Sus scrofa: one gene and its partners. The protein of the gene in region 1 interacts with the protein of each later gene in a pairwise test. Links are inferred from orthologs where the notes say so. Each region holds a gene or a part of one and is shown on either strand. Other genes may lie near its edges.

Region 1 (3,500 bases):
AATTTAATTTTTTTATATATATTTAATAAGTACCACATTAAAGACAGCTGTGTCATTGACTTCCCTAATCTGATTGCACGTCTAAGAAATAAAAGCAGCTTAAAAAAACTGGGATCCATCCTAGATGCACTCCTTCAGAATCCCTGGGGATGGAGCCTTTGAATCTGTATTTTTTACAAACTTCCCCCAAATGATTCTGACGATGTTCAGCTTAGTTTAGAAACTATAGGGCTATATCAAACTTTATTCGAATAGCCAGACCACAAAGACATGGTAAGACTGAATGGATATTTTCAATGCAGAGTGTAAAGCAGCTGAGAAACCGAGAGGCGTTCTAGGACTTGGGAGGGCACAGGGCAAATCTAGTCACATTTCTCCTTTACTTAGTGTATAAGCAAGATGCAAGCAATTGGGTATATGTGACTCAGGCACCTGAAAGCAGTCCATGTACACCTTTAAAAAAGCAGAAGCCTTAACTAACATCACATTCAAGCATTCTCTGAATTGGAAGGTAAACTTGCTTTTTTCTGAAAAGGAAATCCTAGTACTATGAACTCAAACTTAATTAAGTAGGTGGTACAAAGGTTACAGCTACCCAAAAAGAAACCAGGAAGCAAAAAGTCCGTTTAATCACAGGGCAATTCAGCTGGACAGAACTCAGATAGTGAGACTAAGATTTAAAACAAACTCACCCACTAGTTTAAAAAATGGATTTGACCATTTCTGCCAGCTTCAGCTTCAGTGAAGAAACAGAGCAAGAAACTACTGGAAAATATATGTTCAACCCATGCCCTCCGATTTTGGGGAGCTTTGTGAAGAGCCAGGCCCACCACTTACCTTAATGGACAATGCATAGAGATGGTTCAGCATAACATGATTGGGCTCAGGTAGCAAGGCTGGGTCACACTAAAAGAGGGGGAAAAAAAAACCCCCAAAAAACAACTAAGTGGGGTTAAATGCACAATGTTAAATCAAAGATCTTAAACCAAAGAGTTTATTCTTCCCAGGGCTCTTTGGAACTGTTGAGAAACTCAAAACGAGAATGTATTATCTCTTTTAAATAATGCACTTAGGGAGTTCCCACTGTGGCTCAGTGGTAACAAATCCAGTAGTATCTATGGGGACATGGGTTCAATCCCTGGCCTTGCTCAGTGTGTTAAAGATCCAGTGTTGCCATGAGCTGTGGTGTAGGCTGCAGACATGGCTCAGATCTGGTGTGGCTGTGGCTGTGGCGTCGGCCAGCAGCTGTAGCTCCAATTCAACCCATAGGCTGGGCAATTCCATATGTCATGGGTGTGGCCCTAAAAAGCAAAAATAAATAAATAAATAAATAAAGCACTCATCCTCGTATATATCAATACATTCCCATTACACAATATTCGGAAAATTCTGAGCCTGGGGCAGAAACCCTAAGCCTCAGCATCTATTCATACTCTTTAATAGGACTAAAGCAAAAACCTTGCCCACAACACACAAAGAAGATTTGTATTAAGAGGCAAAAATAATCTTAGTGGGAATCAAGTGAGTTAACTAGGGATGTAAATTATATGCAAAATATACTTCTTTTGGATAACTGCAAATGATAAGTACTTCTCATCTTATGTTGGAATTAAAAATGTTAAAAACTAGTTCTATCAATCCATAGCTCTGGGCCTGATATATTAGGATCAGAAGACAAGTATAAATTTTTTTTTTTTTTTTGTCTTTTTGTCTTTTGTCTTTTGTTGTTGTTGCTATTTCTTGGGCCGCTCCCGCGGCATATGGAGGTTCCCAGGCCAGGGGTTGAATCGGAGCTGTAGCCACCAGCCTACGCCAGAGCCACAGCAACGCGAGATCCGAGCCGCATCTGCAACCTACACCACAGCTCACGGCAACGCCGGATCGTTAATCCACTGAGCAAGGGCAGGGACCGAACCCGCAACCTCATGGTTCCTAGTCGGATTCGTTAACCACTGCGCCACGACGGGAACTCTTTTTTTTTTTTTTTTTTTTTTTTTGACAAGTATAAATTTTGATATAAGTACCTGGAAAAGTCACAACTTAGCCCTGGAAAAAGGAACCTGCAATACTACTGATAAGTATATGATTTATACTCAACATAACTTTTTAATAATCCCAACTTCTAGAATTACATAACTTTGGCTCAAATGGCCCTAGTGACCCCCAGATGCCCCAATAATACTCTTAGGATACTCACAGATATATTAGTGTCCTTGTTAAGAATAACTTGGAGAAGGTGGGGAGGCAGGATGGGTGGGGATTTGAATCTCTCCTCTGATCGAAACACATACATTTCTTGACCATAAGGCCCTGGGGGTGAGCTGGAAAGGTCTGGAAGATATTTATACAAATATAAGGGAAAGATGGGAAGCTACAAAAAATGCAAGAAAAAACTGTCAATACATGGCAGCTAATACTAAATATGGTAAAAGACAAGAATCATAAAGTTGGAGTTCCTACTGTGGCACAGTGGGTTAAAGCAACTGGTGTTGCCACAGCTGCAGCAAAGGTCACAGCTTTATATAATTATTATTATTATCTTGTGGCCACGCCCAAGACATGCAGAAGTTCCAGGGCCAGGGATTGATCCCACACCACAGCAGAGACAATACTGGATCCTTAAGCTGCTGCACCACCACAAAACTCCCAAACAGATAATTATTATATTATTAATTATACTTTTAGAACCTGCACAAGCCACCCTTGTGCCCTGAGATTCTAATATGCCCAGTTCAGGTATTGTGTCTCAGCTGAGAATCACAGAAAGTCTAAGCCTCTGATTTTACTGATAAGCAACTGAGAACCAAAAGCATTGAAGGTCTCATCTGTGATGGCAAAGCTAATTAGTAGCAGAGGCAGACTTTGCGTTCACAAGGAAGAAGTGTGCTTCCTTGGAACACACTTCTTTAGACAATCAGAGCCTTTACTGTAAAGTTACAAAATCGATAACTGTGAATATGGATAGCAAATTATTTTTCTGGTGCTATAGCCAATGTAAGTAGAGATGAGGGGCTTGGAAAAAATATTGTGAGAAACAAAAGTATATAGGTCTTTCCTCTAACAAGGAAATTTTTTTTTTTAACCAAAAACTTTAAAAACTTCAGTTAACATACACACAATAGAAATATGAGTTTTTTTTTTTAATATAATGATTTTTTATTTTTTTCATTATAGCTGGTTTACAATGTTTGGTCAATTTTCTACTGTACAGCATGGTGACCCAGTTACACATACATGTATAGATACTTTTTTCTCAGAAATGTGAGGCTTTTTTTCTACAGACTGACTTAAGTATAGGGCCTTATAAAATTATAGAACTGCCAAATGAGCTATCAAACTGGCAGGATTAGGCTGAGGCAGTTAAAGAAGGCAAACCAAACTCAACTAGCCCCTGCTAGTTGACACTGTTAAAGGTCAATGAAAAACGTGAAATATTACTAGAAAGAGCTTTTAAAACTACAGGAGTTCCCATCATGGCTCAGTGGAGACGAATCCATGAG
Region 2 (3,500 bases), on another chromosome or scaffold:
AACCTGCTGAGCCACCACGGCCACTCCCAGGAAAACGGAGTTGTCTACACTTCCTGCTGCAGCTTCCTCATCTCCATTCTTCTCCTCGACCCACCTCAACCCAGCCTCCAACTCCACAGCTCACTGCAACTGCATACACGCAGCCACCTGCAACCTGCCTCGTGCCTATTCCAGTGGGCGCGAGTCTGCCTTCATCGCCCGCGACACGTGTTCTTCCTCTTCAGTTTCAAATCCCCAGCCATCCGCACGTACATGGCTAACAGGCATCTCAAAGTGAACCCGGCCTAGTCATGACTCCTCGCCCCGACGTCTCCCACACCTCTTCCCCCCAGGCTCCCTTGTCGCCATCAACGGAGAGGCACTGCCTCCGTCGGAGCTTCATCCAGGACTGTTCCTCTCCCTGCACCCCAGGACCCACAGGGCCCGTGACACCAGCTCCCAAGCAGACTGAATCTGTCCACTCTCTTCCCTTTCCCCTGGTTCGGGCCACGGTCACCTCCATCTTGGACAAACCGCGCTGCTCCCTGCCTCGTCCCCCGGCACTCTCCTACCTGAGAGCTTCCTATGGTTTCTCATTCTCAGGGACTCTGCCCCCTGCCCTGCCCCCCAGGATGTGGTCCCTGCAGCCTCTTCTTCCTTCCGCTCCCCACAACAACCCCACCCACCCAAGCCTGGTCTGCATGGCAGGAGGTGGAGGCTCATCTCTTCAGCCTGGATCCTCATTCCCTGGCTCCTTCCTCATCTAGTTCTCTTGCCCAATGTCACCCCACAGAGAGGCCCAGGCTAGTCTCTGCTGTGTCACCCATTTAAATATTTCACCATATTCCGTACTTGTGTGTCCTCCTCTGTACTGGCCCTCTAGCCTGTCAGCCCCCTGAAGCCAGGAACCCTGTCTAATCCCAGGGCCTGGCAGGGTGCCGGGCACACAGGAGACTTTGTATGCGTTTGCTAAATCGATGCCGCCCTAAGTGTGTGAACAATATGATCGGAGGAGCTGCAATGCCCTCCGCCCTGAGGCTCTGGGGGGGCGGCCCTCACGCCCTGTGGCAGCTGCTCAGAGAAGCCCCACTGGCTGCCAGCGGGGAGCAGCTGTTTTCCCACAGCCCCGGTAGGAACAGGCTGGGTGGGCGGGCTCCTCGGCTGCAGCTGGGGCTGGGGGGCCGTGGGGGGCCGAGGGGGCGGTGTGCTTCTGTGGTCTTAAACGAGGTTGGGGCTTTGAAAACCAACTGTGCGGTGAAGGAGAGGTTAGACCCCAAGAAGAGCTTCTGGCGGGGGCGGGGGTCCAGTAAGGGAGTGTGGGTGGCGCTGAGGAAGGGGCCTACCCAGCACCCTCCCTTGAGCCTGGAGACCCTCTGGTTCAAGCCATGTTTTGTGAATGGGGGCAAGAAAGGTGACAATGGGTGAGATTCCACGTTCAGAGGCAGGGAATGGTTTTGCCCAATGGAGTGAACATGTATGGCCAGGCCCCCGCTCTAGGTCCCGGGCACAGGGCAGTGAACACGGGAAAAGCAGCCCCTCCCTCACGGAGCCCACAGGCCCAGGGGAAGAGAGCTGGGGTGCTAAGGAGGCCCATGATGGAGACCCTGCCCTCGTCAGGGGTCCAAGGGGGTCCCCCGGGGAAGGACCCCCTACTTGGACTTGACACAGAGGATGAGTGAAAGTTCACCAGGGGAAAAAAATACTTGGGGTGGAAGCAACAGCACGGACCAAGGTCCCGAGGTGGGAAAGGGCTTGATGGAGTCAAAAACCTGAGGCAGGTCCCCAGGACTAGAGGGGAGAATGGTTCAGGACGGGGTGGGGGGGGGGGCAGCCAAAGCCTGAAGTGGGGGTGGGCCCCGGCCCTGCCCTGGCTCCTGGAGCTCTGGGGGAGTCCTGACTGGGGAAACCCTGTGTGGGGTGGGGCGAGGGGTCCAGTGAGGTGGGCTCTGACCCAGTCCCTGGGGGCAGACGGCCCTGGCCACCGCCTCCCTCACCTCCATCTCCCCGACCTGCCGCTGCAGCTGAGTGCACGTTGCTTCCAGCTCCTCCTGCCGCCGCAGGGTCACTGAGCCTTCAGGGAAAGACAGGAGGGGTTCCTCTGCCCCAGCTCGGAGGCTGCCAGGCCACCTCTGACCGTGACCAGAGCTTTGGCCTGAGGGTCACCTGCAGAAGCTGCCCCTTGAGAACTTGAGGGGGTCCCCTGAGAACCGCCTCTTGGCCTCTCCACCTGACCTGGAGAGGGGTGCCCTGACTGACTCTCAGGAGGCCGCCAGCCTCACTTCCCCGCTCCCCCCAGAGCGAGGGGCTGAGGGGGCTGGTTTCCTCCAGGCTTCTGATGGCAAACCCTGAGCTCAGAGGACTCAGTCCCACACAGCAGAGCACCGCCCCGGGTGTGTCACGGCTCCCCTCTGGGCTCTGCTGTCCAAAACCCACCGAGGACTCAGCTTGATGCTTTTGGAGCCCTGCTGCCCAGGGATCACCGGCCCAGGGGAGGTACAACAGGAGGGCTGACCAGCCCGCTGTGAGGGTCTCTTACCCTGGTGCTCCTGGAGGGTCTCCACCAATTCCTCCAGGGCCCGTATCTTCCGATCCTGCAGCAAGGCGGGAGGGAGCAGGCATGGTGGTTCCCAGAGCCCAAGGGAGCCCCTTGCAGATGGGGAGATGCAGCATAAAGTCCCCGCCCGCCTTGGTACCGCCACCACTCCTGTACTGACCCTTGTGGTTCCACCGAGGTGGGAAGCACCCCCAGGCGCCCAGTACTCCGTAGCCACTGCTACCACCCAATCTGAGGTCTATAGGACTTGCTCAGATGTGGAGGAGACCCCTTAGCCCCTCTGCTCAGGTCACGGGGACCCAGATCAGTTCCAAGTCAGACTAGCCCTTGAGTTGGGCGGTTTGTTCAGGGAGATGGTTCTAGAACCTGTCCACCCTGGCCCATTGCAATAGTAGCCTCACTATGAGTAGCCTCCCCAGCCCAGGCCCTTCTGCCCCTTAGACCGGACTCTGGCCCTTTACCGGCAGGGGCCTCACCTTGAACAGCATCTCGTCAGCCTGGGCCTTCACCTGCTGCTCCAGATCCCGCAACTTCTTCATCATGGTGGCCACCAGCTCCGAGTCGTGGGACACAGGGACTGCCAACCAGACAGAGTCCTAGAGCCCAGGCCTAGAGCTGGGTGGGGGGGTGGGGGTATGGGGGTCCAGGGTTGGGGGAGAGGGCTCCATGACAGCAGAAATAAGCCTGGTTACAACCGCTGCCACCTAGATAACGGGGACTGCCTACAACAGTGCTCATAGATCAGCTTTGCTGAGGGAATGAACTGCTTCGGGAAACTGAGGCACAGAGACTCAGTAACGTGCCTAAGATGTACAAGGAAGCAGTACGACATCGGGTCACATCACCGTGAAGCACTCTCAGCAAGGTCACCCTCTGTTGAATCACTTCTCTAATCTCAGCCCTCATTCCCAGGAAAGACGGTGGATAGAGGACAAGTTAAAGGGCACCAAGACAAAAGACGTGCGAC
Region 3 (4,250 bases), on another chromosome or scaffold:
TTGTCCTGGACCCTCATCTTCCTGGGAAAGGTGACCACGGTCCTAAGTCTCCATTTTACAAATGGGAAAACCCAAGGCTGGAAGAATTTAAATTCATCCAGGAGGCAAAGGTGCATAGTGGATGATGATGATGGTGACAATTAAGAGCCTATGTATTTAGCACTTCCTGGAACTTAATGTGCCTTATTTCTGGTTTCTTGGAGGCCTGCTCTCCACAGGAAAGGGAGAGAGATCCTATCAAAGTCCCCATCAGCCCTGTTTCTCCTCTGCCCACCATCTCACAGGGCTCCCATCTCACTCCGAGCAAGCCCAAATCCTCCCTGAGCCCACAAGGCCCTGCACCATCTGTCCCGCCTCATCACCAGCTACAGAATTTGCAGGCCCCAATGCAAAACAAGACCATTCAAAAATTATTAGGAATTTCCAGACCAACACAGCAGATCATCCACCCAAGCAGAGGCCCTTCTGGAAGCCAGGCCTCTGTGCAAATTCCAGAAGCTGCTAGCCCTGCCCCTCTGCTCCCTTTTCCTCTCAAGCACCCCACCCCCACCTGTGCTAGGCACAGTGCTGCCTCAGTACCTTTGCACTGGCTGTTTCTGCCTCCTAAAATAAGCGACCAACCCCATAGCCTACTGGCTCCCTCTCTCGTCTTCAGATCCGCTTAGCGGCCAAAGAGGTCCATCTGAGTTCCCTCTGTTTAAAATCACATCTTCCCGGCCCTCCCTCCTGCTTTCTTTTCTCTATAGCTGTTACCACCATCTGACCTGCCAGGGACCTGGCTCTTTGGCTGGTCTCTCTGTCTTCTGTCTTCTCCACCAGGGTAGGGACTCTGTACCCCCTCCCACCCCCACCTGGCACACAGTAGGCGCTCCATTAATGTGAGTCAAGGTATGGCTCCCAGGAGGTCGGCGGTATCATCCCCGCCTTTCTACGGAGGAGGAAACCGAGGCTCAGAGAAAAGCCAGTGAGCCAAGGTTACAGAGCATGTCCCTGGCACGCGTCCGGGTCGCGCCATGACAGCGCCGGCGGTTTCGATGGGGGCAGCCGGGCCCCAAGCTTTGACCGATGGGGAAACCGAGGCCCTGGCGGTTGCCGAGGCCACCCGGCCGGGAGGGGCCGCGGCGGGGCGGGGGCGCGCGGGCCCAAGGTCACCGCGCCGGCCGGCCCGGGGGAGGCGGATGGGTGGGGATCCGCGGGCCTCCCCGGGCGCGCGCCCCCCCCTCGGCGGCGCGCACGGGGCCCGGGAAGCAGCAGCGGCGGCGGCGGCGGCGGCGGCGACAGCAGCAGGTGGAGCCGGAGCCTCCGCGCAGCCGAGGCCGCGGCCACTGCCGGCGTCGCCGCCATTAGACAATAGGAGCGGCGGCCGGGCGTGCGGGGAGGCGGGCGGCGGGGAGGGGCGGGGAGGGGCGCCGGGCGCGCAGGAAGCGGGGCCCGGGGCGCGCCGGGGCCGGGCGCGCGGGGAGGGGGCGCAGGAAGCGGGCGAGGCCGGGCGCGGGAGGCGGCGGCGGCGGCCCCGGGAGCTGCCGATCGGCTCCGGGACAAAGGCGCGGCCGCCCGGCGCCCCGAGCAGCCCGAGTCGGGGCGCACAGCCGGGGCGCAGCCTGCGCCCCCCGCCGCGACTGACATGATGTTTCCACAAAGCAGGCATTCGGTAAGCGGGGCCCGTCGGCCCGGCGGCCCCCCCCCCCCCCGTCCGGGCCCGGCACCCCCGGTTCCCAGCCCAGCCACCCCCCCCAGCTCCGGGCCCTGCGTCCCCCTACGTCCTGGCCCGGTATCCCCAGTTCCCAGCCGGGGCTATTCCCTCCCCCAGGTTCGGGCCCTGCGTCCCTCCAGGTCGGGGCCCCGTACCCTCCCATATCCGAACCCAGCGCCCCCTCTAGGTCCAAGCCCTGCGACCCCCTTCCAGGTCCCTGCCAGGCCAACCCCCCGCCTCCAGCTCGGCACCTCCCCCCAACTCCTGGGCCCAGTCCCCTCCAGCTCTGGGCCCAGAGCTGCTCCCCCCCCGCAACCGCCGCCAGCTCCGGGTCCCCCTCCCAGCTTCCGGGCCCAGAGCCCCCCCAGGTCCCCTTTTGCCCCCAGCTCAGAGCACGCCCCAGACCCTGGACCCTGCGCACCCCCACCCCAAGCCAGGCTGGGCCTCGCTGGCCTTGGCCTGGGGCCTGGGGCGCCCCGGGAGCCCCACTAGGCACCTCTAACGCTGGGGCTGCTTTTGGGGCCTGGGAGTGGGGGAGAGTCAAGGCGCACCCCTCCCGGAAGAGCGCGCGGCCTGGAGGAAGGGTGCTAGGAATCTGGGGTGGGCCCCCGCACCCCCGGAAGATTTTGGGCGCTGAGAGCCCCCTCTCCCAAGGGGACTTTGCCAGGAAGCCTGCCCCCGCCTCCCAGCTTTGGGGAGGGGGATTCACTAGGACGCGTTCTCCCCCCTCCCTGAGGCAGTTGGGACGCTCAGACGTGCAACCCCTCCCGGCGCTGTGGAGGCGCGGTAGAGGGCGCACCCTACCCCCCACCAAGGGCGGCCCTTCAAATGCACCCCCACAGCCTGGGGGTGGAGGGGGACGAGCGGCTCCGGGAGCACCCACCCTCCTTAGCTTCTCGGGGAGAGGCGGGGGCAGGAAGCGAGGGCGGGGGCCGAGCCAGGGGCTGTAAACACAGCCAGGGAAGTGGGGCAGGGTGTGGGGGGACGCTGCAGCTGCGCAGGCCGCAGCCTGGTGGAGGGGGGGCGCCCTCAGGGAGGAAGGTGGGTGGCGGCCCCCTCCTGGTCCTGACCCGGGCCGCCCCCTCCCCACAGGGCTCGTCGCACCTACCCCAGCAACTCAAATTCACCACCTCGGACTCCTGCGACCGCATCAAAGATGAGTTTCAGCTCCTGCAGGCTCAGTACCACAGGTGAGCTGAGGGCTGGTGGTCCCTGCCCTGGGTGAAGGTGGAGCCCCCTGCTCAGAAGGCAAGACTGAGGCCTGGAGCTGAAGTTGTGGTCCCTGCTATACACACAGAATGGGGGGAAAAAATCGGTATTGAGTGTCTCATGTGGCAGACCAGGTCTCCAACACTTACGGATATTAAATTCATTTAGTCTTTAGGACAGTCCCATTTCATAGAGGAGAAAACTGAGGCACAAGAATTTAAATAATTTGCCCAAAGACTCAGCCGTCTGGTTTCCAAGCCCCTCTCCCCTCCCCCACCCCCACCCCAGACTGCGTTGGATAAAAGACCTCCCAAGAGCTGGAGTTGGGGGCTGGATCTTCCATCGCCCCACCCACCCCTCAAAAGAAAGTCTATAGCTTGTTATCTCTTTGCCTAGTTTTGGAGAAAAGGTTTCTGGCACCCAGCAGCAAGGCGATGCTCCCTCCAGAATTTAATCTAACATTTCTAAAGGGCTTGCCATGTGCCAGATCTAAGAAAAAGGAACTATTATTATCTTCATTTTACATTTAGGGAAACTTAAACCCAGAGGTGATAGGGGTTTCCTGGGGTTGCCCAGCAGGGAAGTGGCAAAATGAGATTCTCACACTCAGTTTCTGGGTTGAAGACTGCAAAGTCTCAAGCCTTAGCTCCGGAGGGGGTCTTTGCTTGAGAATCAGAAGGGGGTCCATGGCCACAGATACCAGTGGGGTCTTGGGCTTTCTCTGGACCTCAGTTTGGTCACACAAAAGTGTTCTATGAAGGATCCTGAGTTTTCTCCAAGAAGAGATAGGAATAGTGAGATCTGTTTTTCCTTTGGGGGTGTTCCTATCCTCCCCATTTGCCAAATACTGAACATACATCCTTTTATTGAATCTTCCCTGCTTTTTGATCATATGCCCATTTCAAAGTGAGGAAACTGAGGCAAGGTGGTTGAAGGGCAGGCCCGGGAGCTTTGTTCTGGTCCTGTGATGTGGAGGGTTTAGGAGCTTTGCTTGTCAGGCCTGGCCTTTCTGAGCCTCTCCAGGGGTCCTACCCTCCCTACCTGGCCCTTGCTCTCCTCTGATCCAATCTGGCTGGCCGATCTGACTCCAGAGACTGAGGGTCAGGTTGCTGCCTCATGCTGTGTGACCTCAGGTAGGCCAGGCCCCCTCTCTGAGCTTTGGAGTCACGATCCGCTGGGCCTGGGCTTCCTGCTATACAGCGAGGAGTCCTACTGTGTTGGGGACTGGTACAGTATCTGCCAGTCCCTCAGGAAGGGCCAGAAATGCAGTTTGGAATGAAACTGCCTTTTTTTTTTTTTTTTAACAGTGGCAGCAACTGTACATTTTTAAAGAAAATTAGAGAAGCCA
Region 4 (4,032 bases), on another chromosome or scaffold:
AAAATCCGGGCCAGGGAAGTGGGAGAGGTTTGAGGGCAGTAGAGAGTAGGGCTGGCCTATTCTGGTAGCCCTGAGAGGCCAGACCAGGCTTATAAAATATTTACCAGACAGTGAGATCCTCCTAAGCATTAAGCCTGCTACAGAAAAGGCTTACCCAGATCCCCATAGTCCATCACAGGTGGACTGTACTATTTATAAAGCAATCTCACATCCATTATCTCCTGCAGGCCTTACAATAACCTGGTTGTGGGGGTCGGCTCAGAGCTGGGTAGTGGAGGGGTGTCTAACTGAAGCCCCATTTGACCCACGCCTCTCTAAGTCTCAGAAAAACTAACTGATCACTCCCTAGTGGTGCTGAATAATCCTTGCACAGCCGAAGCCCTGATCTTTAGCTCATGGGATTTGACTTTTGTTGCTGGTAATTCTGCTTCCTGTGAGGCTGCCTCTCTGGTTAATCTCCAGGTTAAAGAAAAAAAGGGAGAAGAAATCAAAATTTCCAGTCCAATAAACTAGACTTAACCTCCCTGCTGGTCCACCTCTCTCTCCCACTTCCCTACTCTCCCACCTCCCTATCCTCCCACTCCTACTGCCAGAAAAACAAATAAACAAAAACACAAAACCAAGTAATCCTGAAGCCAGGTTCTGCCCAGCACTGAACAATGTACTTACTGGGTTCTCTTCCATATGTCCCTAGAGCAGAGTCAAAATGATGATTTCCAATCTCTGATTCCAAGGTCATTTATTGATTCAGAACACAAATATTTCTTGAAATCCTATCATGTGCATGACACTCCACTCTACAGGGCTCAAACACACCTCCTCACATCCTCTCAAATTCCAAAAGACTCAGCTAAGACCCCAAATAAGGTGGACAAGAATAGTATTAGTCAGTGAAGGAGGGGAATTGATGACAGGATTTAAACAAGAGGGAAAGTACTTTCTGAGAGGAGCATCATAACATAGGGCTTTAGGGAGGAGGAGTAATTTGAGCTGAGTCTTGAAGAATAGGGAGACTTTTAACAATTTTTATTGATAAAAACAGTCTAGAAAGGTTCCTGTCGTGGCTCAGTGGTTAACAAACCCAACTAGTAACCACGAGGTTGCAGGTTCAATCCCTGGCCTCGCTCAGTGGGTTAAGGATCCAGTGTTGCCATGGCGTGGCTTGGATCTGGTGTGGCTGTGGTATAGGCTGGCAACTGTAGCTCTGATTTGACCCCTAGCCCCCCCCCCAAAAAAAAAGTCTAGACAAAGGGACTTGCATAAGCACATAAGCAAACATACATTTTTTAGTGGAAAAAGTGTTGATCTGGGAGTCAACTGACCTGAATTTGAATCTCAGTCCTGCCATTCACTGCCTTAAAGAAAACCTTCCCCACTCAGGCCCTCCATTTTCTCATAGGTAAAAATGATATTTGGTTAGCTAACTTTTAAAGGTCCTCCATGGGCTTTCATCCTGACATTGCATTTCAAATATCAAGTAGGCAAGTTTGCATCAGGATAGAATACATGAAAGAGAATAATACAAGAGTATTGGGTCTATGTTGTGGAAAAGATTGAAAGCCAGGCCTGGGAGCCTGAGCAGAAGCCAAGCCCCAGACCTGAGGTTGTATGTTTTGCCTGGTTCCAATTTAAGGACATGAACTTTGCAATCATGTCTGCCTAGGATGGGAACCTAGCTCTACTACACATCAGTAGTTCATTTACACAGTCATGCCACTTCTCTGAGCCTCAGTTTCTTCATCTTTAAAATGGGAATGAAAATAAATAACTCATGGGGTGTTGTAAAGATGAAAGGCGATCATGTATAAAAAGTGCCTATAAATATGTGACTTTCCTGCTCTTTAGTTTCTTCTCCCCAGTGCCAGGTTTTAATTAGCCTTCATTGACCAATTACTTCCTGTTCCTTCTCCTTCTCCAAAGCAGGCTTCATACCATATCCAGAATTCAGCCACTTCTCTCCATCCCCAATGCTATTCACCTGGATTATTGCAATAGCCTTTTAACTAATCATCCTGATTCTGTTTTGCTCATTTACAATCAATTCTTAATCTAACAGCCAGAGTGATGCTTTCAAAACTTAAATCATGTCACTCTCAAAACCCTGCAATGTCTCCCTACCTGACTTAGAGTATAAACTTAGAAATTTAAAATGACCTACCCTCATTAGCTTTTGAACCTAATCTGCTCATTAGCCACAATTTCCTTCTTGCTATTTCTCCAATAGAAGACAGACATTGTCTCCTCACTTGTTACCTCTGTCTGGATCCTTTCCTCATAGCTCACTCCATCACTTCTTTTATGTTTTATTTAAATGTCATTTTTAAGTAAGGTTCTCCCAGACCACTGCATATTAAACTGCAACACCCTCCAGCATTCCCTATTGTCCTTCCTGCTTTATTTTTCTTCACAATATTGATTATTACCATCTAACATACCATAAAATTTAATTACTTATTAGTATCTCCCCCCTTGAGAATATAAGCTTAATAAGGTAAAGAGCTTTGTCTGTTCACTATTGATGTCTCCATGCGTAGAATAGCACCTAGCCCTCAATAAATATTTGTTGAGTAAATTAATGAGTACAGTGGTGCCATGCTGTGTATTAAGTTAGGCAGTTTGCATACATTATCTCAGGATATCCTGCCTTGTAAATGCAGACAGTTAGGATTCCTATCACACAGGGGAAAACCCTGAAACTCTAGAGATGAAGTGATATTCCCAAAGCTAAAGAGGGATTAGTTAATGGAAATGCCAGGTTGGGTTGGACAGTATAAAGGAGCAAGGTCCTCCAGTAGAAGCACAACCTGAACTAAAGGTTATGGTATGTTTGGGGAAGGGGAGGGGTGAGGGAGTATGTGGGTAAGAAGGAGTCCTGGGATTCAGATTGGTTTTGTTGTCAGGAGGTAATCTGGTTTTTTTGAAGCAAAATCTTGAGTTTGTGGCTATCTACTGGCAAGTCCATGTCTTTTTCAACAAATGGAGCTTTATGAAGGAAATCTTCTCAAGCGTGAAAGAAAGTTAGAGTTGCAGCTGCCCTGAGTTTGAGACTGCAGGAATTTGGCTCCTTGGGGTATTGACTTTGAGGCAGAAGCCAGCCTTAGCAGAAAGACACCCAAGAAAGACTAGTGAACTGTCAAGAAAATAAGGAAGCCCACTACCCACATGAGTATTTTCCTTCTTTCCTTCCTTTTTTTCATAACCTCCTCTCTTCATCTTTCTTTAATTTGTGCATACTTGTAAAACATCAAATTAATCCGGCCTTCCATCTACTGGAATGTAACCTTAAGAAGGCATAGCACCGGTGTTTCTCTCGTTCACTGCTCTGTCCTCATGTCTACAACAGCCTGGCAGACTGTAGGCACATAATATATAATTGTGAAATGAATTTCTGTCCTTAAAAACAAAGCTCTCCTCCTGGTGGAAGGGGCAATGAAGAGAAGGGAAAACCCCTTTCAGTGGTATCATGGGCCAGTGCCATGTGGAGTACTGGTGACAGGGAATGTGGGCAGAGAGGATACCACGGATGCAGGCTGGGTATGGGACAATCAACATAAAGGGAAGAGACCCTGGAGTAAGGACTGAATCCCAAAGAGTAGAATTTGGCCCTGATTCTGCACGCCTCCATCTCAATTTAGAGGGAGCTTTAGAGAAGCTCCTGCCTCCAAAAGTGCAAAATTAGTGCCACGGAACCAGACGGACTCAAGCGAGAAAGAGACAGAAAGGCCCCAGAGCTCTGGGAGAGGGAGTGTAGAGTGAACAATCCCTGTGAAAGTGAAATGGCCGTTCATTTGAATGCAAATGCTATGTAAAAGCCTAAAGCCCCTTGACGTCAGCCCAGCCTTTGGGGGCCCATCTATACCGGGCTACCAGTCACCTGGAAACTGTCAGGGTAGGAAATGCCGATGGAGTAGTCTGAGGGGCGCAGAGGAGCGTGCAGCACAGCTACGGACTAACCTACTGATTACCTACTGCTTCTCAAAGTTGGGTTAGGGCCTTACAGGGACTTCAGGATGGCTTAGGGTGTTCCTTTCT
Region 5 (3,935 bases), on another chromosome or scaffold:
CAAATGAAATGGAAGCATAGAAGTAAAAGGTGGAGTTCACCTTCATTTTTTATTATTAAAGAAAAATACTATGCACTAGTATGTTGCATGCATTTTCAATGTTCATCTGCATGTTTTTATTTGGTGATGTCGAAGGCAGGGGGTTAGAGGCCGGACCTTTAAGGCTGACCTGAAGGACGCCTCACCCAGGGCTGGTTGGTCCTTCTCCATGGGCCTCAGTCTTCCCATCCATACAGCAAGGTGCCTGATGCTCTCTGGACTCTGTGATCTCTGCTCCAGGTCTAGCTATGGCAGAGGAGGGACCTGGCGTCCAGCGTTTGTGTCTCTGGGATACAGGAGCAAAGAGCCACATATCTTTCTTTTTTCTTTTCTTTTTTTTTTTGGTCTTTTTGCCTTTTCTAGGGCTGCTCCCACGGCATATGGAGGCTCCCAGGATAGGGGTCAAATCAGAGCTGTAGCCGCCGCCCTATGCCAGAGCCACAGCAATGCAGGATCCAAGCCTCGTCTGCGACCTATACCACAGCTCATGGCAACGTCAGATCCTTAACCCACTGAGCAAGGCCAGGGATCGAACCTGCAACCTCATGGTTCCTAGTCAGGTTCGTTAACCACTGAGCCACGACGGGAACTCCCAAGAGCTACATATCTTTATGGTCCAAACAGGCATTGCCCTGAGTCTCTCCTTGGCCTTAGCCACCTAGCATTCCAGAACGGCATTGGGCTGGCTGGCTGGCCTGGGGAGCCCCTGTCCTACACCTCTGGTCTCCCCGAAGGCCAGACTCACAGAGGCTCAGGGAGCCACCCCCTCCTCCCCCAGGGTGGCAGCAGGAAGAAGGAAGAAAGAGGATCGCCTCCAGCTGGCCCGGGAGACAGACCTTCCTGTGCCTATTAGCCCTCCAAGAACCCCATCCTCCCTCCCTCCCTCTCTGGAGGCCTGTCCACAGGGACTTGGGATCAGCCAGAAAAGTCAGGCAACTTTTCAGGGACTGGAGCGAGGGGAGGTGAGGTCTCCCAGCCTGGCCTGAGTCCAGCCCCTGTGAGCAGCGCGGTGCCCAGCCCCACCCCCTGCTGTGCCCTGTCTGTAACTCCAGACTTTGACCCTGAGCTCCAGTCCCGGCTGAGGACAGGACGCCCCAGAACAGGAGCCTCCCTCCAGGAGAGAGGACCCTGTGCCCACAGCAGCTGCTGCTTTTCTCCAGAATTTCGGCACGCCAGGTGAGTGGGTCGGGGGCAATGGCGGAGCAGATCTGAGCGTCCTCCCAGTGTCGACAGAAAAAGTTCACGTGAGAGTCTGACGCAGGTGACAACCTTGAAGGGACCACAGGTAAGGACTCTCACCTCTCCAAGCCTCAGTTTCCTCACCTTGAAGATGGGCATCATAACTAACCTTTTACAGGCTTAATCTGATTATTAAAAGAAGTGATGACTATAAAGGGCTTAGCACAGAACTGGGCATATAGCAAGTTCGCAGTACATGGTAATTATTTTTGGGGGGACTGGGAGCTGGTAGCCAAGCTTTTATAGAATCTGTTCCATTTTAAAGATAAACTCTGAAACTTCATAAAAGGTAGCCATATGGGGCTCATTTCAATATCTCACCTGTGACTTGATCTTTTTTTTTAAACAATTCTTTCCTCTTTTTTTTTTTTTTGATGTGTGTGTAACAATCCAAGGCATGAGTGGCATTAAGTTCCTTTCTAGGGACAAGGGAGGTTATAAGCAAAAAAATGCAAGACCGAAAAGTAAGCAGAAAGTGTCAGTGGCCCATTTATTGCCGGCTGCCTAAAGAGCTCTACGGTGCAATGCAGAAAACTCAGGTAGAACCGGGTCCAGATCAGAATGCTGGCCCATACTGGCTGTGTGACTTTGGGGGAGAGACTTCCTCTCCCAGAACCTCACATCTATAGAACCTCTTAGAGTAGCTGAGCAGATTAAGAAAATGTCTGTACTGCATCTGCATGTGTCTGGCAAGTGGCAGACGGCCAAAATTCCCTTCCTGCTCCATGCATATGTAGACATTATAATTACACACACACACACACACACACACACACACACACACACACACACACACAAATGTGATAACCTCAGCTGTTTGCATCTTCCTGAATGCATGGGCCAAGCACGCTTGGTTGAAGCAATGGCATAAAACAGAAAACTGCAATGCTAATAAAAACAGCAACAACAAGACAAGGGTTGGACAAAGACAGGACTGTGTGTAAAGGTGACCAGGAGCTCATCACTCACATGCATGAATGATTTTCCCCAAGGCTGGGTCTCTCAGATCCTATAGTCTGGCAGCTGACTCTGCTCAGAAACTTATATATTTACACTGCATTTTAATACACACATGAACACACCCAAAGTTGCTATAATCAATATCAAATTAGATTCAAACACTTAACTAAGATAATTGACTTAGGGCATACATATTTCCTTTTCAATTCTATGCCAATCACCAACACACTAAAAACTCCTACACTCCTTATGTTTATTGTTTTTTTTCAATGCAGGATCATGAAGTCTTAGCTGTTTCTCTTCACCTGCTTGATTTCTTTTCAAATCATGGGGTTTGCACACAGAGCACAGTGGGTAAGCACACAGCCTTGAGAATCAGGCCGGCCTGGGCTCTCCTTCTAACCAGCTCATGTCTGAGCCTCAGTTGTCTCATCTGTTAAATGGACATAATGATAACTCGAGGGTTTTTAGAAGATTAAAATAGATAATGTATGTCAAGTTACTGGAAGAACTTGACTCGAAAAATGTGTGACACATATGAAGAGTTGAAAAGCTAGCAGCTGAAAGTATTTTTTAATTCAGTGAATTTTATTATATTTATAGTTGTACAATCATCACCACAACTTAATTTTAGAACATTTCCATCCCAAATCTCAAGTCCATCTCTCCCCCACCAACCTGTCCCCTTTGGTAACTGCACATTTTTCAGAGTCCGTGAGTCTGTTTCTGTTCTGCAAATAAATTCATTTGTATCCTTTTTTAGATTCTACATATAAGTACTAGCATATGATGTTTGTCTCTCACTGCCTAAATTTACTTAGCATGATAATTTCTAGATCCATCCATTTTGCTGCAAATGCCATTACTTCATTCCTTTTTATGGCCAAGTAATATTCCATTGTACACATGTGCCATATCTTCTTTATCCAGTCCTCTGTCGATGGACATGTAGGTTGCTTCCATGTCTTGGCTGTTGTGTATAGTGCTGCAATGAACATTGGGGTACATGTATCTTTTTTCTGGAGCCACGGTTTTCTCCAGATAGATGCCCAGGAGTGGGATTGCTGGATCATATGGCAGTTCAATTTTTTTTTTCAGGAATTTCCATACTGTTTTTTTTTGTGTGTGTGTCTTTTTAGGGCCACAATCACAGTATATGGAGGTTTCCAGGCTAGGGGTCGAAGTGGAGCTGTAGCTGCCACAGCCACAGCAACACCAGATCCAAGCCGCATCTGTGACCTACACCACAGCTCATCGCAATGCTGGATCCTTAACCCACTGGGCCAGCGAGGCCGGGGGTGGAACCTGGGTCCTCATGGATGCTAGTTAGATTCGTTTCCACTGAGCCACGATGGGAACTCCTTTTTTTTTTTTTTTCATACTCTTTCCTGTAGAAGCTGCAATTATTACTTCCCCATTGCCAGGCCTTCTCTTTCACGGAAACTTTTCAATCCCAAGACTCTACAGATCCTTGGATCACAAACATGTGACTTTGGCTGTGTGGCCCCTCTTCCCTGGACCTCAGTTTCCCCTTCTGCATGATGCTGTTTTGCTCATCTTTAGAATGTTAGACATTGGAGAAACTGAACCACATGCTGTAACTTGTTCCTCTTTATCTTGGCTAGTTGGACCCAGCAGTTTCTCTGGGTCCCCTCCCCCACAGCCCCATGCTCTTCTCTTGGGTAAGTACCATGGCT
Region 6 (4,244 bases), on another chromosome or scaffold:
ATCAGCCAGCCAGGCAGACCCCACCAGCACGACAGAGCCCCCCAGCTAGGCAGACCCCACCAGCCTGGCAAAACCCAGTTGCTTGGCAGAACCCAGTGATCTGGCCAAACCCAGTGATCTGGCAGAATCCTGTGATCTGGCCAAACCCCATTGTCTGGCCTGGTCCAGTTGTCTGGCCGAACCCACTGGCCTGGCAAAATCCACCTGGATGGCAGACCCCACCTGGATGGCAGACTCCACCAGGCTGGCAGGGTCCTCCAGATTGGCAAGGCCCTCCTGACTGGCCACTGCCCCCCGACTGGCCACTGCCACCTGATTGGCCACTTCCCACTGACTGGCCGCTCCCACCTGACTGGATTCCCACTGATTGGCCAGTTCCACCTGACTGGCAGAACCTGCGCCCCTCACCGAACCTGCGCCCCTCTCCCAACTCGCGTGCCTCACAGAACCTGGGTGCCTCACAGCCCCGAGATGTGGCCCTTCTTCAGGAAAGAGTAAGAATTGTAACTGCAGTCACTTTCCCTCTCCCTCTTGCTCTTTTCCCTCTTGTCAAGTGGCCTGTAAATCGCTTATAACTTTAATGCTTTCTTTTTTCCTTCTCAGGCGAACAAGTTGGTCAAGTACCTGATGCTTAAAGATTACACAAAGGTGCCCATCAAGCGCTCAGGTGGGCATCCAGTGCCCTCTCCCAGAGCTCTGCCCTGTGTGGCCATTTCTTTGCTCATGTCCCTTCCCCTTCAGTCCCCTCCTTCTGCAATTGAGTCTTCCTTTTCCACCCTTGAGGACATTGCTCCCCTCAGCAGGGCTGGCAAAGAGGTTGTAGTTCTGTGGCCTCAGCTCAGGTGCTCCCTCCTCTCTCCTGCAGAAATGCTGAGGGATATCATCCGTGAATACACTGATGTGTATCCAGAAATCATTGAACGCGCATGTTTTGTCCTAGAGAAGGTGAGAAGGCAGCCCTGAAGGACAGGAATGATGGGGAAGGTTTTTTTAAAAATAGATATTATGGGAAAGTCTCGATTTCAAAGATTTCATAGGATCCCTACTGGGAATTTAGGGTGAGTGTCACAGGGAGGGGAGTGACTGAATATGGGTAGCTTATGCTAGATTTTGTAATTTCATAGTCTGATTTTTTTTTTGGTCCCTGTAGAAATTTGGAATTCAACTGAAGGAAATTGACAAAGAAGAACACCTGTATATTCTCATCAGTACCCCCGAGTCCCTGGCTGGCATACTGGGAACGTAAGATGGGAAGGGAGGTGGAACATGGCCTTTCTCAGGGGTGCTTTTTTCCTGGGAGTTTCAAGTAGGTCAAGGTCCAGGATTCAAGGTCACATAACAGGGTCATGTGCAGAACTGGGATAGAATTCTCTCCTAGCCTAACTAGGGAAGTGAGAGGGGTGAGTTGCCTGGGGCGTCGCATTCATATGGCTGTTGAAAATGTATTGTTTTTGTGCTCCTTTAGGACCAAAGACACACCCAAGCTGGGTCTCCTCTTAGTGATTTTGGGTGTCATCTTCATGAATGGCAACCGTGCCAGTGAAGGTGAGTGGCTGGACAAGCAACTGGGGGTTGGCTACCGCCTGATTTCCATGCTCATTTTCCGTCCCTTGTCTCCCCTTGCCTCCCATTGCAGCTGTCCTCTGGGAGGCACTACGCAAGATGGGACTGCGTCCTGGGTATGACTGGGCTCTCTCATCTCTTGCCTGTTTATATCATCCTTTGGTAACAGAGGATGGTCCCAGGATTGCATCAGCCTGGCGGTCTAGGGGAATTGGTTTGGGGAGGTACAGAGCCCAACGATGTGACCTGGGTGAACGGGAAATAGTTCTGACCTCTCTGCCTCTTCTCTTGCCTGTGACCTCTGTGTTAGAAAACGCTTTGCTTTTCTTTGGGCAATATCATAGTCTCTGATTATGAGTTCTTTTTTTTTTTTTTTTTTTTTTTCAGGGTGAGACATCCCCTCCTTGGTGATCTGAGGAAACTTCTCACTTACGAGTTTGTAAAGCAAAAGTAAGTGATGCCTAAGCGACTTTGTGTGGTCCTCATGAGTTCTGTGTGCTGGTCAGCCTCAGAAAGCCCCTCTTATGCTCATTTCTTACACTCACTTATACCTATACACAGGCATACAGACACACATGTGTACTCAGGAGTATTTATTGAGTATACTCCTTATAGTTGAACTTTTCTGCAGTATAGTTATCTTGCAAGTGGAGCCTGTCCACCATGCCCACAGTAGGTATTTCCAAGGCTGGGCTTGGCTGAGGCTTTTGCAGTGGGCCTATTTGTGGCTCAATGACAAAATTACAAGACCCTGGAGCTAGAGCTGTTGTGACAAAGGGGGTGAAATTAAGTGCTGTCCTTTCTATGACCCTACGCCAGTCACCCTCCAGCCCTGGGTGATTGCTGGGTGTAAAAGCACTGGCACAGGAACGTGAAGGCCTGATTATTAGAGGGTAAACAATCTGTTCAGGAATGAGACTGGGGGGAGTTGTACCTGAAATCTGGGGTGTCAGAATCTAGCATTATTATGCACTGATGGACTATCATTCTGCTTGGGTAGAAACAAAGGCCTTTCTGCTCTTTCTAAGGTACCTAGACTACAGACGAGTGCCCAACAGCAACCCTCCTGAGTATGAGTTCCTCTGGGGCCTCCGTTCCTACCATGAGACTAGCAAGATGAAAGTGCTGAGATTCATTGCAGAGGTAATAGAGGAACTGCTCCAGACTTGCTAGGTCAAGGGATGAAGTATGACTGGCTGGGAAAAGTCCAGAGCAGGAATGAGATCTTAGGTATCGCACATGTAGGTGCCACATCATTGGTGGCATTTGTTGTTGTTACTGTGCAAACAGTAGCACAACGTAGGGCGTTAAATATATAGCAGGTGCTTCATAAATATTAATGAATACTATTCTTGGTTTTATTTTCTATTCCTTATCTCAGGTTCAGAAGAGAGACCCTCGTGACTGGACTGCACAGTTCATGGAGGCTGCAGATGAGGCCTTAGATGCTCTGGATGCTGCTGCAGCTGAGGCAGAGGCCCGGGCTGAGGCGAGAACCCGCATGGGGATTGGAGATGAGGCCGTATCTGGGCCCTGGAGCTGGGATGACATTGAATTTGAGCTGCTGACCTGGGATGAGGAAGGAGATTTTGGAGATCCCTGGTCCAGAATCCCATTTACCTTCTGGGCCAGATACCACCAGAATGCTCGCTCCAGATTTCCTCAGACCTTCGCTGGCCCCATTATTGGCCCTGGTGGTACAGCCAGTGCCAACTTTGCTGCCAACTTTGGTGCCATTGGTTTCTTCTGGGTTGAGTGAGATGTTGGGTAGGTATATCACTTTGGAATTGGGCATTTAGGGTCATTGGGGATGTAGAGTCCATGGGAATGTATTTATGTGCTCTAGCTGGGAGTCCTAGGAAACCCATGGTGGGGAGATGAGGAAGGTATGGGGAAGCACCATTTGGTATTTTTGTTCCTTATTTGGTATATAGCATTGATTTTTAATTTTCTTTCTTTTTTATGTTCACAGGTATTGCTAATCAGTTGCAACAGTCTTTCCCCTGAGTGAGGCTGAAGCCTCAGAATCCTTCTAAACACAGCTATCTAGAGAGCCACATCCTGTTGACTGAAAGTGGCATGCAAGATAAATTTATTTGCTGTTCCTTGTCTATTGCTTTTTTCCCCCTTGTGTGCTGTCAGGTTTTGGTATCAGAAATAAACGTTGAAACTGCAAAGTGAGTTAGATGTGTTCCCTGTTTTTTTCTGTGTTTAGGGAGAGATCAACTTGTTTATATGGGAGAGACGGGGCCTCAGTTCTAGCCTAACACAGAGGCAGATTAGTTTTCTGGCTAATGGATTGGGAAACAAGGGCTTGACGAACATGAATGCTAATGAGATCCAAGAAAAAGTATGGCTTATTTAATAAATATCATGTAAGTGACTCATATGTGATAGATACTCTGCTAGGTGCTTTGGAGTGACATTGAAAGATGAAATAATGAGAGAGGGTGTAGGTGGTCAGACAGTTGCATTTAAGAAGACAGAAGAGGCAGAACTCCAGGTAATAATAAAGTTCAAAGAGTGGGTGGCTGAAGGGAAGGGAAGATGACTGTTCCCGGAGATAATGTTCTGGGGACTCCAGGGTGTTGGTTGTATTATCCATGTGGAAAGTGAATAACTCCAAGATGGGGGCAGAAATAGGAACAGAGAACACTGTGAACATGGTTCCTAAGTTTCCT
Region 7 (3,989 bases), on another chromosome or scaffold:
TCCTCCGACACAGCCTGGCCCTCCCTGAGCCAGACTCTCAATAGCATCCTGCAGCTGTCCAAGCCCAGATCTGCTTCCTTGGCCCACAGGCCAGAACACCCAGTTCTCTGCTTCCACGGGCCCTCTGCCCCAGGAGGCTCAGGCATCCTCTGAAATAGCACTGGGCCCTGGTCTTCTTTTGCTCAAAGAACAAAGCAGCTTCCAAAGTCTGCCTCCACGAGATTAGGAGGCAGGGGCTGGAGGAGGCAGGTCTTTATATTCTCATTAGGTGAAGGGATTCAAGGCTCAGAAAAGCAGAGCAACCAGCCCAAGATCACATAGCAAATGAATGCTGGGGCCAGGGCACCAGCAGTGAATTGGGGGCAGGCAAAGCCTCAAAGGGAGGGGTCTGGAGGTGTCAGGCCATGAAGACAAATTCCTGGGGTGCAGAGGCCCGTTTTACAGGTGGAGTCACACTTGTGAACCTGGTCCACTAAGCCCTTGTCCACTGTGTGGCCCCAGGTGGGAGAGATGGGTAGGAGAAGGCCTCCAGCCACTCACCTGGCAGCCGCATCATGGGCGACTTGATATCATTGGCCAGTGTTGTGTGCGCGCACGTGCATGTGCGCATGAAGGGGGCGCTTCAGTTTCTCCTACGCCTGTGGGCCCCAGGACTACAGTTCCCAGGGGCCCCTGCTCCAGGCTGGTGGTCCCTAGCCAAAGCTGGCCTGTAATCTGACCATCCCTCTGCAAAGGTCACTTCAGAGCCCCTTGAGGGACAGCAACAGGGGGAGCTCAGAGTGGCTCGACTTAGGTGGGGGGGTGGGGTGTGCACTGTAGCCCTGCCTCAGGCAACCTTCCCCATACCACCCCCTGGAACGCAGGGTCCCGGTGCCCCTTCGTGCAGACACCCAGTATCCTCTGCTAGTTGCACTTCTGTTAGGGCTCATCCTCAGCGCCTGGGCCTTCAGCCCGTCCCTCCCCACCCGGCTGCAGGGCTGCCGTGGAAGCTTGACCGGAGGTCACCCCGCTTGGGGTTTGCAGTCTCTTCTGTGAATGTCTGGAACAGAAGCCAAGAGGCTCTGATGGGGGCTGGGGCTCCTGACCTGTCCTCCTTGACATCCCACTTGGCCCCTCCAAGGAGCCCTGATGGACAGCCGCCAAGGTCCGGCCCCATCTTTCATCTAGAACCCAGGAACGGGCCCAGAGCAGGGCAGCCTCAGCCAAAGTTGGAGCCCAGCGGCTCCGGTCAAGGCTCAGGCCTCTCAGGCCAGCCCGCCGCCGCCTGCTGCATCTTGTCTCTGACCCTGCAAAAGGCAGGGAGGGGGCCAGAGGGCAGAAGGGCCGCCGTGTGCGAGGGGTGGGGGGGGACGTGGGTCCGCACAGGGCTGCCGGGCCCAGCCCAGGCGGAGGTCCGGCCTGCTCTCCCTGCCCCTCTCTCCTCTCCTGCGCTTGCCCCAAAATAGCTCCCGGAGCACCCAGGCCAAGACCCTCCCCCGGAGGGAGGAGGCGGGGCAAGCTGCCCAGAGCCGGGCTTTAAATCGCCGGCCGGCCGGGGATCTCCACTCCCTGGCTGGAGGCACCGCTCAGGCCCCCGTCCCCACCGTCCGTCCTTCCGTCCGGCCCGCCCTCCCGCAGCCATGTCCCGGCCCCTGACGGACCAGGAGAAGAGAAAGCAGATCAGCGTGCGCGGCCTGGCCGGCGTGGAGAATGTGGCGGAGCTGAAGAAGAACTTCAACCGGCACCTGCACTTCACCCTCGTGAAGGACCGCAACGTGGCCAACGCCCGCGACTACTACTTCGCGCTGGCCTACACCGTGCGCGACCACCTCGTGGGCCGCTGGATCCGCACGCAGCAGCACTACTATGAGAAGGACCCTAAGGTGCTGCTTGGGGCCCCCCGGGTGGGGGATGGGCTGGGGGGGCCCTGCCCCGGGGGGCCCGGAGATCGTGACACGTGGCAGCCCTTTCCTGAGGTCAGGATTTGGGCGCAAAATAAAGGGTCGCTCCAGGTTCCTGAGGTTGGAAGATGCAGGGTGCCAGGTGCAATGGGTGCGGGGACCCAGGGGCGGGGTGCGAGGGGTGGGGTGGGGGTCAGGGGCCTCAGGTCAAGGCAGGCTGGTGGCAAAGGCCCTGATTGAGAGCCACCCACAGTCCAGCCCCCTCTTTCGGCTAGAATCTCGGAGCGAGGGGCTGTTGAGGGGGCAGGAAGACCCCTGTGGCCTGGGGTGGACCCTTAGTGGAAGGACATGTCACTGAATGTGTGCACAGCGCGTCCGTGAGCGGGTGGGGCTCGGCTGGGGCAGCTGAGGGGGGAGATCAAGTGTCTGTTGGGGTCACTGGTAAATGTCAGCAACCTGACACCTCTGGGCAGGAGTGGGGGAGGGGCAGACGGGTGGGGCAGGGAGGGGACCCAGGAAACCAGGAGACCATGCACCATCCGCATCCTGGAGCCTGGCGCCTCTCTGGCCCCTTCTTGGGACAGAGGCTTGAGGGCCAAGGGGAGCTGGGCCCTGCAAAGATGGGAGGTGGCTGCCTCTAGCCCTGAGTCATTGTGTGACCTTGAGCCAAAGACTTTTCTCTGGGCCTGGCCCCCCCTCCTGGGGAGCCCTTGGAGATGCTCCCCCACATCCTGACTCCCTGAGGGGCTGTTGGGAGGATTTCCTGCACAGGAAGGGGTTCCCACCTCTCCTAAGCACCTCAGCCCCCCAGGGAGATACAGCCAGCCCCATTTTCCAGATGAGGAAACTGAGGCTCAGAGAAGAAAAGTGATTTGTGCAAAAGTCAAAAGAAATGCTGGGGCTGGAACTTACCTGTTGGGTCCCCAAAGCCTGAGGAAGCGGGGAAAGAACATGCTGGGGCCTAGGCATGGGGCAGGACGTGTGAGAGGTGCGGCCCAAGCGAGCCTGGCTGAATGCATGTCCGAGGGCAGCCTTGACCCCGTCTGTCTCTCCGGACAGAGGATCTATTACCTGTCTCTGGAATTCTACATGGGCCGGACGCTACAAAACACCATGGTGAACCTGGCCTTGGAAAATGCCTGTGATGAGGCCACCTACCAGGTGTGTAGGGGTGGGGCAAGCCCTAGGGACTGCAGCATGGACCCGCTGGCCCTTGGCCCTGACGACTGGCACACCCTCCCCCTTCTAGCTGGGCTTGGACATGGAAGAGCTGGAGGAAATGGAGGAGGATGCCGGGCTCGGCAATGGGGGCCTGGGCCGGCTGGCAGGTGAATGAGCCGGGTGGCACGGGGGTGGGGGTCGGGGGTGGGCGGAAGGGTCCTTTTGTGTTGCGTCTCTGACACCCCTTTGTGCACACCCCTAGCCTGCTTTCTGGACTCCATGGCAACACTGGGCCTGGCTGCCTATGGCTACGGGATCCGCTATGAGTTTGGGATTTTTAACCAGAAGATCACTGGGGGTTGGCAGGTGAGCAACCTTGGGCCCTGGCCGGGTAGGGCCCTGGTTGTGAGGGGGAAGACCCCCTATGTGCTCATTCATCTGTGCATAGATCCAGAACTGGCCCAGCCCCCGGCCCCAGTCCCATCGTTATCTCTTGGGATGGGAGGGCCGTACCTGTGGGATCTCTCAGACTCTCATGCACACACCGTGTCCGCTTGGCTATCCCACCAGACCAGGGGCCCGCCTGCCCCAGAGTCTTTCATGTATGCCCTCCCTATACAGGGGCTGTATAGCTGCTGCTCCTGCCCTGCCCGCCACTTCTTGTGGCGTGAGCCTGGCTCTGACGCTGCTTTCCTTTCTCCCCGACCTGCTTGGGCTTAGATGGAGGAGGCTGATGACTGGCTTCGCTATGGCAACGCCTGGGAGAAGGCGCGACCCGAATTCACGCTGCCTGTGCACTTCTATGGCCGAGTGGAGCACACCAACCAGGGGGCCAAGTGGGTGGACACACAGGTGAGGGGGACGCTGGGGAGCAGAGGAGGATCCAGGGATGGGGAGGGGAGGAAGTTCTAGAGGAAACAGGGAGAAACAGGGAAAGATCCCGGAGGC

The links.
Region 2: the proteins of PRKAB2 (region 1) and UBXN11 interact in binary tests that used the Homo sapiens proteins (3 or more experiments, as listed by UniProt). The link is inferred for Sus scrofa from reciprocal best matches to the Homo sapiens genes PRKAB2 and UBXN11.
Region 3: the proteins of PRKAB2 (region 1) and AES interact in binary tests that used the Homo sapiens proteins (3 or more experiments, as listed by UniProt). The two-hybrid records come from large-scale screens. The link is inferred for Sus scrofa from reciprocal best matches to the Homo sapiens genes PRKAB2 and TLE5.
Region 4: the proteins of PRKAB2 (region 1) and CDX4 interact in binary tests that used the Homo sapiens proteins (3 or more experiments, as listed by UniProt). The link is inferred for Sus scrofa from reciprocal best matches to the Homo sapiens genes PRKAB2 and CDX4.
Region 5: the proteins of PRKAB2 (region 1) and DAO interact in binary tests that used the Homo sapiens proteins (3 or more experiments, as listed by UniProt). The link is inferred for Sus scrofa from reciprocal best matches to the Homo sapiens genes PRKAB2 and DAO.
Region 6: the proteins of PRKAB2 (region 1) and MAGED1 interact in binary tests that used the Homo sapiens proteins (3 or more experiments, as listed by UniProt). The link is inferred for Sus scrofa from reciprocal best matches to the Homo sapiens genes PRKAB2 and MAGED1.
Region 7: the proteins of PRKAB2 (region 1) and PYGM interact in binary tests that used the Homo sapiens proteins (3 or more experiments, as listed by UniProt). The link is inferred for Sus scrofa from reciprocal best matches to the Homo sapiens genes PRKAB2 and PYGM.

What each region holds. Positions count from the first base shown.
Region 1 is NC_010446.5:100,385,044-100,388,543, reverse strand, and holds part of PRKAB2 (5'-AMP-activated protein kinase subunit beta-2), read right to left. Parts: intron 2,332-3,500; coding exon 2,198-2,331; intron 907-2,197; coding exon 838-906; intron 1-837. UniProt on the Homo sapiens protein: Non-catalytic subunit of AMP-activated protein kinase (AMPK), an energy sensor protein kinase that plays a key role in regulating cellular energy metabolism.
Region 2 is NC_010448.4:83,701,016-83,704,515, forward strand, and holds part of UBXN11 (UBX domain-containing protein 11), read right to left. Parts: intron 3,113-3,500; coding exon 3,010-3,112; intron 2,571-3,009; coding exon 2,516-2,570; intron 2,051-2,515; coding exon 1,974-2,050; intron 1-1,973. UniProt on the Homo sapiens protein: May be involved in the reorganization of actin cytoskeleton mediated by RND1, RND2 and RND3. Promotes RHOA activation mediated by GNA12 and GNA13.
Region 3 is NC_010444.4:75,490,758-75,495,007, forward strand, and holds the start of AES (amino-terminal enhancer of split), read left to right. Parts: upstream 1-1,450; 5' UTR 1,451-1,624; coding exon 1,625-1,651; intron 1,652-2,785; coding exon 2,786-2,883; intron 2,884-4,250. UniProt on the Homo sapiens protein: Transcriptional corepressor. Acts as a dominant repressor towards other family members. Inhibits NF-kappa-B-regulated gene expression. May be required for the initiation and maintenance of the differentiated state.
Region 4 is NC_010461.5:59,087,899-59,091,930, forward strand, and holds the start of CDX4 (homeobox protein CDX-4), read left to right. Parts: upstream 1-1,232; 5' UTR 1,233-4,032.
Region 5 is NC_010456.5:41,947,829-41,951,763, reverse strand, and holds the start of DAO (D-amino-acid oxidase), read left to right. Parts: upstream 1-1,135; 5' UTR 1,136-1,324; intron 1,325-3,935. UniProt on the Homo sapiens protein: Catalyzes the oxidative deamination of D-amino acids with broad substrate specificity. Required to catabolize D-amino acids synthesized endogenously, of gastrointestinal bacterial origin or obtained from the diet, and to use these as nutrients.
Region 6 is NC_010461.5:45,325,539-45,329,782, forward strand, and holds the end of MAGED1 (melanoma-associated antigen D1), read left to right. Parts: coding exon 1-494; intron 495-603; coding exon 604-667; coding exon of another isoform or gene 668-865; coding exon 866-945; intron 946-1,150; coding exon 1,151-1,242; intron 1,243-1,465; coding exon 1,466-1,545; intron 1,546-1,636; coding exon 1,637-1,679; intron 1,680-1,950; coding exon 1,951-2,013; intron 2,014-2,591; coding exon 2,592-2,706; intron 2,707-2,944; coding exon 2,945-3,322; 3' UTR 3,323-3,330; intron 3,331-3,535; 3' UTR 3,536-3,744; downstream 3,745-4,244. UniProt on the Homo sapiens protein: Involved in the apoptotic response after nerve growth factor (NGF) binding in neuronal cells. Inhibits cell cycle progression, and facilitates NGFR-mediated apoptosis. May act as a regulator of the function of DLX family members.
Region 7 is NC_010444.4:7,408,141-7,412,129, forward strand, and holds the start of PYGM (glycogen phosphorylase, muscle form), read left to right. Parts: upstream 1-1,189; 5' UTR 1,190-1,619; coding exon 1,620-1,862; intron 1,863-2,939; coding exon 2,940-3,041; intron 3,042-3,129; coding exon 3,130-3,208; intron 3,209-3,303; coding exon 3,304-3,407; intron 3,408-3,761; coding exon 3,762-3,893; intron 3,894-3,989. UniProt on the Homo sapiens protein: Allosteric enzyme that catalyzes the rate-limiting step in glycogen catabolism, the phosphorolytic cleavage of glycogen to produce glucose-1-phosphate, and plays a central role in maintaining cellular and organismal glucose homeostasis.